Linked DNA regions of Saccharomyces cerevisiae S288C. The protein of the gene in region 2 purifies or fractionates together with the protein of the main gene of each other region. This does not show direct contact. Each region holds a gene or a part of one and is shown on either strand. Other genes may lie near its edges.

Region 1 (3,459 bases), on a different chromosome or scaffold from region 2:
CGAGAAAAAGGCAGGTGTGTTTTCAGACGATGATGAAGAAAATGACCAAAATTTCGAAGCTGAGAGCGACCTTTCCGATGGGAGTGGCCAAGAATCCTCAGACGGTGCAGAAGACGGAGAGGAAGCAGAAGAAGATGATGAAGAAGACGATGAAGAGGAAGACAAAAAGGGCCAAAGCGCTTTGAATAGAGATAATAGTTTTGCTTCTATAAATGGTCAACCAGAACAGGAACTCCAATACAAAGAGTTTAAGGAGCCGTTAGAACTCGAAGATATTCCGATAGAAATTGATAATGATGACGATGAAGATGATGAGGATGGATCCGGAGTAGAATACGATTGACTTAGATTCGATATTATAATATAGCATGAATACGCATATGTAAGAGTTCATAAATACCACTTTTTTTATCCTGAAGAATAACATGGCTTAAAAATCAAAAAAATTATGGATAACAACTTGATTATTTGCGGCCATTTATGCAGTCGTCTAAACTAAACTACTCTAGTATATAGTTTCCTAGTTTATCCATTTTTAGATTTTCAACACCACTGGAAAGCGCCTCTATAATACGTTCGTTCTCCTCTTCTTGTGCATCTTCACTGTCATCTTCAGAACTTTCATTATCAAGTTCGGAGTCATAGTATTCATCCTCCTCTGAATAATCGCCCTCCCCATTTTCTTCTTCGGCCTCGTCATTAGACATATCGTCATCTGAATTATAAACAGCATTTCTCATGCTTTCAACGGCAGTTTCCAGGCCCCTATCTCCTGGATGCTTTTTGCTAAATCCGGAAGCCTGCACCAATTCATCCAAATTGTCGGTTCTTTTAACGTCCCTTTTGAAATCTGGATACGCATATTTATAACCATCGCCGAAACCTTCAGTGTCGAGCATTGATGAATCAGGTTTTGGTTCGTACTTCAGTTTCTTTTTGAAGAAACGACGAATACAGTCAACATCCCTTTGGAAATAATAGTCGGCGTCTTGGTGTTGAATAGATATACATTGTGGAAAATCAATAACTACGAACCCACAATCGTTTTCATCCTCTAGTTTGTCCTTTATCATAATATTAAACTCATTAAAATCACAATGGATAAGTCCGCTATTTGCTAGATCAACGATGAAACACATCAGATCACTATAAAGCTTGGGTATATTCTTATGTTTTCTTAATCTCCTCATTGGGTAACCCTCGATAAGCTCCATAACGACTATATGACGCGAGTTATCGAATGGCTCAGGGACCTTGAAACCCTTAGAATAAAGCATGGACATAAACTGATATTCTTTATTGGCTGCCAAACGTGAAAGATGCATCCAGTTTGCCCCCTGGTTGGATTTCTTCAGATAATCTCTATTATTTCTGACGGAATGAAAAGAGGTTCTACCTAATCTGTGAATTTTCATTACTCTAGGGTTTCCATTTTTGTCACTTACTTTATAGATGTCAGATTCCTTACCAACACCAATAGTGTTACCGACAGAATAGACAGTGTCTCTGTTTAACATGGTTTTCAAAGCCAAATAATCAATACCGTTATAAGTTAGCCTGTAACCATCATATTTGACATTTCTCATTTTGGAAATAAGGCTAAGCTTGGCCAAATCACTAATGGCTCGGTTTGTTCCGGACTGCGATCTCATCCCCGAGATTTGATGAATCAAGGGAGTTGGAACGACTTCGTGACTTCTAGAACCTTGTTCAACGGCCTGGAGGACACGAAAATCATCAGTTGTCAAATATCTCATATGAGAAGTATCCAATTTCATTCTAGTCTGATTGAAAGTATGTGGTAGAAGAGATGTTTAAAATAGTATTGATTGGTCAATAGAAAGACGAGCCAAGGATAAATGGTTTAATATTATTGAGTAGTTCTTACTTTAAGCTAATTACTGATGATCCTTGACCTTACCAAAATCATGAATTGCGGGTTCCAACTTCAACAGAGAACCTCATCGCCAAATTTTTAGCTTATTTTTTCACGTTTTCTTTTCTCGAATAAGTCATTTGTTACGACATCATAATAAAACGAGTAGTATATATGTATATATAGATAAATCAAGTATGTAGTTAGCTAAAAATGACACTCACTCTGTTGAGCCATTCACCAACGTGAACCGCCATTGAATCCTTGACGACCTTGGCCCCCGAATTCCTGAGGGTTTGGACCACCGAATCCTTGGCCACCTGGCCCGCCGAATTCTTGAGGATTTGGACCACCGAATCCTTGGCCACCTGGACCACCAAACTCTTGTGGACCAGGACCTCCAAATCCTTGTGGGCCTTGTCTTCCGAAACCTTGACCGCCAGGGCCGCCTGGACCGCCAAATCCACCGTTATTGTTGTTATTGTCCTGACGGTGATGGTTGTTGTGTCCACCTTGAGGAGCACCTCCGAAGTTTGAGTTGCCGTATTGCTCTTGTTGCTTATGCTCTTTACGCTCATCAGATATCTTGTTGGCAAGGAATGCACCACCTATGGCGCCCAGCACACCACTCAACTTAGAATGGTTGTTCGACACCTTAGATCCAGCGTACGCACCGGCACTGCCACCTACAATAGTGGAAAATAAACCACGTTCACCGTTGGGGTTACCATTGTCGGCACCATATTGACCGTTGTTTGGAGCACCAGTTCTTTCTTGGTTGTTTTGCTGGTTATATTGACCTTGTTGGCCACTTGAGTAGAATTCGTTTGCAGACATTTTGGACACTTGTTAGATTGTCTTAAGTGATCTATATTTGGAAGGCTTACAAGTGTTTAGCAAGACAAATTAAAGTCTTTCTTTATAAATGACTGCTCAGATTGAGTTTTTTGCCAAGCCCAACAGCCAGCCCCTTTTCCGGTATGGGCTGTGCGGGTGCCGGAATTATTAATACTGAATATTAGCCCACGCCTCATTTTTAGCATGAACGAAGAATGCTAGCGGGGCGAAATGCGAATACAGTAAAAACTCCACATGGTTGTTTTATGCAGCCGAAAAGCAGTTTCATACGTGCCACAGCTTTGGGCAGCCAGAAAAGTTGCCTTAGTATGTTGGTGTGTATCAGTCAAACACTCGTTTGATGCCTCAAGAGGGGAAACAGAAGAATAATTGAATTTATGATTGTATGATATCTTGATCGTGATATACAGAACTAAAACTTCATCTAAGATACAAAAGCTAAGACATTAAAAATGAAAAATATATATATGTGTATAACCTTAACCAGAATGACATCTTAACGAGAAGACATGGCCTTGGTGACAACTCTCTTCAAACCAACTTCTGCCTTTCTCAACTCATCAGCGGATGGGTCTTCGATTTGCAAAGCAGCCAAAGCATCGGACAAAGCAGCTTCGATCTTGGACTTGGAACCTCTCTTCAATTTAGAAGACAAGACTGGGTCAGTGACGGTTTGTTCGATGGAAGCGACGTAGGATTCTAGTCTTTGTCTAGCTTCGTGCTTC
Region 2 (5,701 bases):
TCATTCAAAAAGTAATTTTAGGATCACACCAATTACATGAGCAATTATCTATAGTGGAAGCCCGAATGATTGAATCTGCCATAGTTTCAATGCTCACAGAATCATTTTGCGAAAATGAGCAGACATTAAAATACTTAGCACGGCTACTTTCACCGATGTCTTATATGGATGTTATTAATGCAAGAAGGGGAAAGAAAATATGTGGGTACCCGCTATGCTATAAGAGTGCGGCAGAAAATTCATCTGATGGCTTCTTTATCCACTCAATGTATTGTAATAATTATCACAGTAAATGTTCGTTGTATTTAATGAGACAGTTATCACAAACGCCTCTGCATGAAAGGCGAGGCGTGCATTTAACTAGTTACATTAATCTAGAGTTTGATGATATGTACTCGGTAAGCCTTTTAGAAGAATTAGTTGGAAGTGAGGTACCTATAGATACCGTCAAATCGCTGATAACGAGTTTCAAGGATCTTGAGTTTGATGATACCTACAAGAATGAGCCTTTACCATTGGATGTGTACTTTGGACAGTTGACTACTGATGAGGAAACCTGTATAGAATAGGAAGTATAATTAAATCGTCTTCATCAGGATCCTTATCGCGGTCATACGAGTGACTATTTACATAGAAATGGAAGTAACCAGTAAATTTTCTATTAAACTTTCTGATTCACGCAACTTTTGCACTTAAAAACCGTATTTCGCCAAAACACTTGGCAAGTCCCTCCCTTCTATAAAGAGTGTCACATATGGTAATGTTTCTTTGCTCATTTTTCTGAATAGTGTCAACCGTTTGGCGTACATTTCTTTTGACTTTTTATCAAAATATGCTAGTTGGCCACCGTTCTTTAAAAGCTTTTCCTTATATTTGTTAAAGTACTCCACTCTTTGAAAACTTTTGGAATGTAATTCGAACATTATTTCTCTCACGGGATCTACCCATTCTTTAACTTTCTGATATTGACTCGAAGGATTACATTTAGTAGACTTTGGGATATTTGCAGCGTATTCCAAGTATTTCGGTAAGTTTACTTTAATAATCTTTTTCGACTCTAGATATTCCTCCCAAATGGCCTCATGTAATGCCCAAGCAGCATTAATTTCGCAAAAATTGAGATTATCGATATTTTTCTGAGAATCCTTCCTTTCTTTTCGTATCAATATTCCCAGCTTTTTCGATTGTTGTCTGCCCTTGTTAATTGGTGACCGAACAAACCATATTTGATTCCTTCCTTCTTTTGTATATGACAGCCCAGCAGAAGGTGGGCCATTTTTCAATTTTTGCTGAATATGAAATAGTTTCAGGCACGCATGTTCGTTCAATGCTAATGGTAATAGGAGTTTGTGCTGATACGTTTTTGGTATGTATGCAGGTAAAAGGCCCAAATCTTGTTTTCGCTTAATGTAAGCACTTAGAACATGAAATCTTCTTACTTCTTCTGGGTCGTTGGTCTTTACATCCCCTAATGAAGTCAAAGAGTTGAGGATTTTCGTTGTTTTCAGTTGTTTTTTCATCTTTTTTAATGGCTTCATTAAGTTTTTGATTTCTTGTAATTTACCTTCCAAAAGGCAATTGTTCAACAAACTGAATTCATTGAGTAAAGTATAAACACTCCAACTTGACTTGTCATGCTTGTGTTTGAACAATTGTATTGAAAGTGTTTTTTTTATTTCATATTGAAACGCATATGAGTGGCAACACTTTGGAATGTTTCTGAGAACGGTCCGATATAAGCTCAATACGTAAGACTTGTGAGAAGGAATCTTTCCAAAATTTTGAGCCATATTTTCTACTTGTTCATTACAAAAGTGTTAATCTGTTGCTTTCTCAGGCAGACTTGGTAACTGAAAACCTTAGGAAAGGCTGGGAGCAGCTTTGAAGTTAGAAACGGACACAAAAATTAGCAATAGTGAAATAAAATAAAATGCAACTTATCGTTTATAAAGAGATGTTTAAAAAATCAATTTTAGTTATACAAAATATACATATAAAATAATGAAATAAATGATTTAAACACTCTAGTTGACCAAAGCGGAGGCAGTGGCGGATTCGTACTTCCAGTTTGGTGGTAAGACAGCAACAGTTCTGTAGTATCTGGCCAATCTGTGAATTCTAGATTCGATCAAAATCAATCTGAACTTAGCGTCTTTGTCCTTTCTGTTTCTTTCCAAGTGCTTTCTAACAGAGACAGCCTTCTTAATCAAGTAGTACAAATCTTCTGGGATTTCTGGAGCCAAACCATTGGACTTCAAGATTCTCATGATCTTGTTACCAGTGATAACACGAGCTTGGGTAACACCGTGAGCATCTCTCAACAAGACACCAATTTGAGATGGAGTCAAACCCTTTCTCGCGTACTTGACAATTTGTTCAATGACAGATTCAGAGGACAACTTGAACCAAGCTGGAGCATTTCTAGAGTATGGAATAGCAGAAGAAGAAATACCTTTACCCTGTTTAAAGTAATATTTAGTGGAATTGGATATTCCAAAAAATTTATCGAATGTTAGTAACATGAAGATTCATATGGCTTGAAGAAAAGTGTATCATGACATATTTCCTCGTTCAGACCATACAATTCCATTAAAGTATAACTATTCCGGGTGATTCTTCAATCTTGGTTCTCCTCCGATAGGTTAACGTGTTATGTTATGAGCTTTGTGAAAACTAATTCATAAAGGCGGCTAGCCATCAGTAATTTTCCGGCGTAAATTATACTGAGAAACGGCAGATAGTATAACCTGTTAAACTAATGCAACATATTTGTAAAAGAAATTGGAATCACCCAGCTAATGTACAGCGAGTAGAAACTACTCTCCAGTATAAACTATACCTGTGTACACACCGGAACTTGTAATAGAATTGTGATCCGACAGAGACAAATTATATTAGAAATCCACTTTTGAATTCCACATTAGAGTGTCATCTGATTTAGCGAACTATTCAATGCAACTTTTGCATTAATATCTCGCTATGGTGTTAATAAACATACGGCACTGTGCATACGACCCATTTTGACTGATTGTTGTTGATTGATTTAGTGGTTAACCGTTTAGAATAAATATTAATGAGAAAGAAATTGTTAATTCAATCACGACTGTGATATATGTCGGCCAACATAAATTTCCATCTGTACAGAAGTGGAAATCTCATTCGTATCAAAATTTCACCGCTACTTTGCGCGCTCAGAAAAAACGACAAAGAAAAAATTATAACGTAAAATTTTTTTAAAAATGTTTGGGTCTACTTTATGGTTTATGGGTGGTAAAAGGCTTATATTATTGCTATGAAGATAAAAAAATGTTTAAAGTACACTACATGATTATAGGAGGTAGTTTAGTGTTTAAGATAGACTATACTAACAATTTTCTAATTGCTCCCTCAATTCTTCAACGTCTGAGTCATCCTCCAAACCTGAAGAAACCTCTATCAATTTAAAAGTACCGCACTCCTCTCTGATCATTTCTAATGCGCCGGCATAAAGCATCTTCCATTCCTGTGAAACGACCGTCATTGGCTTCCAATATACTAGAACTAAGGGAGTCTGTTTGAACCCATCTTTTGTTGTTGTTGGATATGCAGTTAGTACAAATCTAGGTGAGTTATCAGGTAGGATCTCGGCTAATTCGCTCAAATCTTCAATTTCGTCTAGCTCTTCTTGTTCGTCTTCATCGACAATTATCTCATAGGACGGTTTTGGTTCGATCTTTATTGATAAAGCTTTTATGGAGTCGGTTCTTGCTGTAGATGTACGAAACTTCTTGATTTTATTTCTAGTTTCAGTTCCAATTTTGTAGAGGTTCGACATGATTGTTTGCTCGATGCTTTGAGGACGCAATTGCAAAACTAAATAATGGGTTTAAATCAATGGTAGCTGATAAATTCAAAATCAGTGAACAAAAGAATTGATAATCCATTTAAAGTTTAACAGACCCTGATCCTAATTCGCTTTTGTCTAACAAAATCACCTAGGGGGTTGGCGTTGACATGTTCTTCTTTTGTCCGCGAAAAAAAAAAACTCATTCTTGTATAATGTAATTGCGAATATGATACGATAAAGTTGTATATATAACATTAAATTATTTAAAAGGTGAAACAAAAGGTATTTCATTTCATATCCTGGAACATATTGCGTGCACTTTTAACTTCTTCTTTCTTTTAAATGTTTTTTTTTTCGTAACTTTTTTTACTTTTTTTGCAATTTTTGTTTGACTTTTGGCAGTTTTAAGTTTATGTCAAAAAGACGTTGCGTGTTTCCAACGTCTTCCAGAAATTTTGTAATTTTTCACCTAACTAGCAATTAGGTAAAATTCAATTAACAAAATACTTGTCGTCCTTACAATCTTCAGGTGTTCTCCTGATAACTTCCTCGATGTCCCATCTTTGACGTTTACCGTCGTAACTGGATTTGCCGGAATTTGATTTCAAATTCAATTTGTCACCAACTTCACTAACATGACGCAGTAAATAATCGATATCTTCCTTTGTTAAAGATGCAGACATACAGAATCTTACTCTTGATTCGATCAGCGGAGTAGCAGGATAAGCAACAACAACAACAGCAATCCGTCTTTGTAACATCATTCTCGAAAATGCGGGCATCTTTGAGGGACAATACAGTAGTAAGGGAATAACTGGTGAGTCAGCCACACCGTAGACAATAAATCCTAACCTTTGCAAAGCTAAACGTAGATAACGGGAATTAAAGGCTATACGTTGCAATCTTTCAGTACCTTGTCCGGGACATATTTCACCACTAATGGTTTGTAATGAGGAAATAGTTTGAGCTAAAACAGGAGCCGGCATTGACTCACTATAACTCACAGTGGTTAAATCCAACCTCAGTCTATCGATAATCCATTGATCAGCAGCAATGTAACCACCAGCAGCACCAAACGACTTAGTGAAAGTACCCATTAGAATGTCGACGTCCTTGGGATCAACGCCAAATATTTCACAAACACCGCGACCAGTTGGGCCCATAGCGCCTATAGAATGGGCTTCATCGATAAACAAGTAACATTTATATTTCTTCTTCAATTCAACCAATTTTGGCAAGTTACACAAAGTACCTTCCATGGAAAACAACCCTTCTGCGCAAATTAAAATTTTCTTCCATGGACGATTTGTTTTTGGTTGACCAAGTACTATCTGTTCTCTGATAAGCTTTTCTAAACCCACCATATCACCATGCTTGAAAGTTCGCACAGCAGCACCAGAAAGCCTAACACCTGTTCTAATAGAGGTGTGGTTCAATTCGTCAGAGATAACTAAACACTTTTTATCGAGGAAAGCGTTGAACAAGTTTGCATTTGTACCATAACCCATCGAAAAAACGAGGGCATCCTCCTTACCGATAAATCTAGCAACTAATTTCTCTGCTTTAATGTGCAAATCTGTGGTACCGATTTGAGCTCTTGGACCACCAGATTGAATAGAATATTTATCGACAGATTCCAAGGCGGCATCGGTACATTGACCCTTACTTTGTGCGAAGCCTAAATAGTTATATGATGATAAGTTCATGCATGGATACACTGCGCCTGAGTAGGTAAAATACTCATTTATATTATGAGAAATTCTATCAATACAACGAATAAATCTACCAGGAACACCAGTAGTTGGTCTAGAAAAGCAATCATCAATTCTCATTTTAATTCTCCTGACATAAAAACTCTCGAAATTTGAAAACCAA
Region 3 (3,849 bases), on a different chromosome or scaffold from region 2:
TTTGGAGATTTGTTGAATCCCCCATTGATCAGGAACAATCTCACCACAACGGCTCCGATCGGCTTTTAGTTTGTTGCATGTACAATGGTGCCAAGGTGGTGACCATGAATGATAATTCCGATGAGTATTTTCAAATTCAACATTATCTGAAGAAGGGCCATGATTCGATGTGTTACGGTGGCGACTGGTCAAATTCTTTGATCGCAACATGCTCATTTTATGATAATTCCTTGCAAACATGGATAGTTTAGAAAAAAAAATTCAGTCTGCAATATATGGACTAATATATAGGCTAATATATAGGCTAATATATAGGCTAATATATAGGCCATATTTTGATGATTTCGATAGATTATGCATAAAGAATTGATAGGAAGGAACTTGCCTGAACAATAATCTTTTACTCTATATTTTCTACTTATTATACATGATTCAGAAGCTTTGTTGAAAGGGGGAAAGACCGAGCGATATAAAATTGATGAAAAATTGATATTACAGCATCAATTGACATCAATCATTAAATCATCATTAGCTTCCTGTGGATCAACAAACTCCCTGCTGGCTCCTGCCAATAGTTCTCTTCTAATCTCAGGACCGATATCTTTATGGCCTCTTTGACGAACAGTTTCCAACAAGAAATCTCTCTGATCCTGGGTAATATCGTTCTTGTAACGTTGTGCAAATGTTAAGAAAGCCTTGTGCCATATCACTGGGAGTACTCTTGTAGCATCTTCCCCATTACTACCGTCATCCAAAATTCTAAACCTCATAAAGTAATACACGCAGTCGTCCACCGTCTGGTACGGTAAAGCATATTTTTTATCGAGCAATATTTTGATAAAAACAGTTGTAGGTGGAGAGAAAGGTAGCCTTAAAAGATAACTCAAGGCAGCTGAAGAATGTAAAGCCGGAACAGAGACTTTAGCAAGCACACTTCCTGCAATTGTCGCTTCACGTACATTACACCCTGTTTCAACCAATGGGAATAGGAAACCTTTGAAGAAGGCACTTGGTTTATAAAGCGATTTTTTCACCGCACGGTATATATGATAGTTTAAAGAGTGGTCTTCACTGGTCTCGATATTGTCACGGAAACGTTCAAGTAAAATTAGGTTAATAAATTTTTGAGATTCTTTAGCAGTTAGGTTGGATACAAATAATTTCGTTGCTTCGTAAACAACGTGTGGTGACCATTCTTCCGGGTTGGTCACATAAATGACATCTTGCCAATTTCTTAAGGATGGGATAACCTTGAACAACTTTGGCAACTTACCGTGCGTCCAAGTTTTTAAAATACTACCTACCGTAGTATATGCTTTGATGACCTTCTCTGGAAGTGCAACACCCTCTCCACTCTTCAAACCGGATGAAATATTGCCTCTTGAGGTATTCTGTTCATTAGCAAGTGGTTCATCATCTTGCATATCTTCAACTTGACTTTCCTTTTCTCGGATAGAGGCCATAATCTTGTCTGCAAGATTATAGCTACCACTTAAAGAGTTAAAATCATCTGATTTCTTGAAATATTGCTCAAACATCGCTGCGTCTTCTTCATCGATTTCAACTATCTCTTCCTCTTCTTTATAATCACCTTCGGGTTCAAAATCGGAGATGTCTTCTCCAAAAGCTTCTTCGTCTTCGTCTTCGTCTTCGTCTTCATCATCATAGCTCATGGTGGTGAATCTGGCTTCAAATTGCTTGTTTCTTTCTGATTCAGCAAGTTCCTCACCTTCAATTTCATCCTGTTGTTCCTTGGCCAACTGCAAAATTTTTCTTGATGCTTTGGAGTCTATGTATCCATCTTCCTCATTTGCAGCATCGTGATTTGCAGCATCGTTCTGCGCTAGCTTCTTTTTATTGATTTTTTTCAAGGTACCTTGAGCTGCATCTAAATCCTTTAAAAGTGGATCATGCCTCTGTTTTCTGGCTTTAGTAGAGGATGCTCTGGCCATTATAGTTAATCTTTCTAATATATTGTTTTATCTGTAAGTCTTAAAACGAGACAAATCTTGGATTTAAAACAACTTAGTGCATATTTCCTTTCGTCAATGTTGAAGAAGTGGGAGCTCATCGATTTTTAAAAATTTTCATTTCCGATGCCTCGCTAAAAAAAAAAAATGAAAAAGTGGAAAAATATGTTCTATTTCTTCCCCTACTGACACCACCAATAATACAACCATATAAGTTGGTACAATTTCTCCAAGCTGTACATCCTCTTGTGTTGTGAAATGTCTGATTTAACATCTATCATTATTGCGTATATAGACTGAGTCAAGATTATAAAGTATACATATCCAACCACATTACTCTTCATCCATTCTAACCTTTAATCCGTGCTCTAGTAAATACTCCTTTACATCGTTAACAGTGAATTCACCTCTGTGGAACATACCTGCACCCAAGCAAGCATCTGCGCGGGTCTTTAGGAAGGCCTCTTCGAAATGTTCGGGTACACCGGCGCCACTGGATGCAATGACGGGAATCTTGACCGCATCTTTAACATGTTCTATCAATTCCAGATCATAACCAGAATTAGAGCCATCCTTGTCTATGCAGTTCAATAAAATCTCCCCAGCACCTAGAGCTTCACATGCCCTTGTTAATTCCCACACACCAAGGTCTCTAGATTCTCTTCCACCTTTGATTGTACATTGGTACCAGCAGTATTTCTCTCCATTGGGGCCCGGATATTCTGTCTCGAAGACTTTGTTCTTCGTATCTGCTTGTGAATTTACATATACTCTCTTAGGGTCGACAGAAATAACAACTGCCTGAGCACCGTATGCTTTCGAGATTGTCTCTATTGGTGACGTTCCATCTCCTCTGTTACCCAACTCGTAGTATTTTTCGGCTGCATAGACTGCATCCGTACCGATCGATACTTTATCAGCACCAGATCTGAAGTATAGACTTGCAACTTCTAAAGCAGGTATTTTGGTTCCATCAACATCGACAATATCCTTGATCCCCCCACCGACTGTCAATGGAACAAAGACTGTCTTTGCGGCTTGTTTCAGAACCTCTAGCATCGGAGTATCCTTCAAAGGACAATCTCTAAAAGAAGTTATATTCAAAAATGTTACTTCATCCGCACCCTGTTGGTAATATTTCTGTGCCAACTGAACAGGCTTACCAAGGTTTCTAACACCTTTACCATCACTTTTTTCACGTACATCGTATTGATCACCTTTAGTAACCACCAAATCACCTTGGTCATTAGTACGTACATCAAGACAAGCAATAATTCTGCGTGTTAGACCATAATTTGAATAGTCATTCATTAAGAGTTCCTTCTCTTCCGCACTATAGTTTGGAATCGGAGGACTTTGTTGCTTCAAAAAATTCTCAATGACGTTCAAACCAGCTTTACCTGATTTTTCAGGATGGAACTGAGTAGCGAATATATTATTCTTGTTGACTGCCGCAATAAATTCCTCTGAACCGTACTTAGCTTTTGCAATTTTCCAACCGTCATTTTCTAGGTTTTTTTTCTTTTCTGAATTCAGAATGGCAGCAAAAGAATGGACGAAATAGTACCTCTTGTATGGATCCAATCCAAAGAATAGGTTTTCCGAGGGAATGCAAGAATTCCAACCTATTTCTGGTACTGGCTTTTCTGAATCATCGAACCTGGACAACTTAAAATCAATGTAGTTCAGACCCGTACTCTTAGGGCTTTCCACGGAACCGGCAAAGAGCGCTTGTAGCCCGACGCAAATTCCCATTATTGGTTTTCCAGATTCAATGTATTCTCTTATCGGCTTTTCGAATCCTCTATTAAATAAATTGTCGACGAAATGGCCATAATTTCCGACACCAGGCAAAATCAATCTTGACGTGCCTGATATG

The links.
Region 1: the proteins of RPS13 (region 2) and RIO2 purify together in Saccharomyces cerevisiae (affinity purification with mass spectrometry; 6 studies listed by BioGRID). This does not show direct contact.
Region 3: the proteins of RPS13 (region 2) and ENP1 purify together in Saccharomyces cerevisiae (affinity purification with mass spectrometry; 7 studies listed by BioGRID, with this or other methods). This does not show direct contact.

The regions. Positions count from the first base shown.
Region 1 is NC_001146.8:253,672-257,130, reverse strand, and holds RIO2 (protein kinase RIO2), read right to left. Parts: upstream 1,779-3,459; coding exon 501-1,778; downstream 1-500. Other genes in the region: RTT106 (Rtt106p), read left to right, coding at 1-343; YNL208W (uncharacterized protein), read right to left, coding at 2,114-2,713; Hsp70 family ATPase SSB2, read right to left, coding at 3,231-3,459. UniProt on the Saccharomyces cerevisiae protein: Required for the final endonucleolytic cleavage of 20S pre-rRNA at site D in the cytoplasm, converting it into the mature 18S rRNA. Involved in normal export of the pre-40S particles from the nucleus to the cytoplasm.
Region 2 is NC_001136.10:576,776-582,476, reverse strand, and holds RPS13 (40S ribosomal protein uS15 RPS13), read right to left. Parts: upstream 3,020-5,701; coding exon 2,999-3,019; intron 2,460-2,998; coding exon 2,025-2,459; downstream 1-2,024. Other genes in the region: RTR2 (putative protein-serine/threonine phosphatase), read left to right, coding at 1-569; RRG1 (Rrg1p), read right to left, coding at 693-1,790; AIM7 (Aim7p), read right to left, coding at 3,365-3,814; serine C-palmitoyltransferase LCB2, read right to left, coding at 4,318-5,701. UniProt on the Saccharomyces cerevisiae protein: Component of the ribosome, a large ribonucleoprotein complex responsible for the synthesis of proteins in the cell.
Region 3 is NC_001134.8:712,504-716,352, forward strand, and holds ENP1 (snoRNA-binding rRNA-processing protein ENP1), read right to left. Parts: upstream 1,953-3,849; coding exon 501-1,952; downstream 1-500. Other genes in the region: RRT2 (diphthamide synthase), read left to right, coding at 1-251; HIS7 (imidazoleglycerol-phosphate synthase), read right to left, coding at 2,304-3,849. UniProt on the Saccharomyces cerevisiae protein: Required for normal export of the pre-40S particles from the nucleus to the cytoplasm.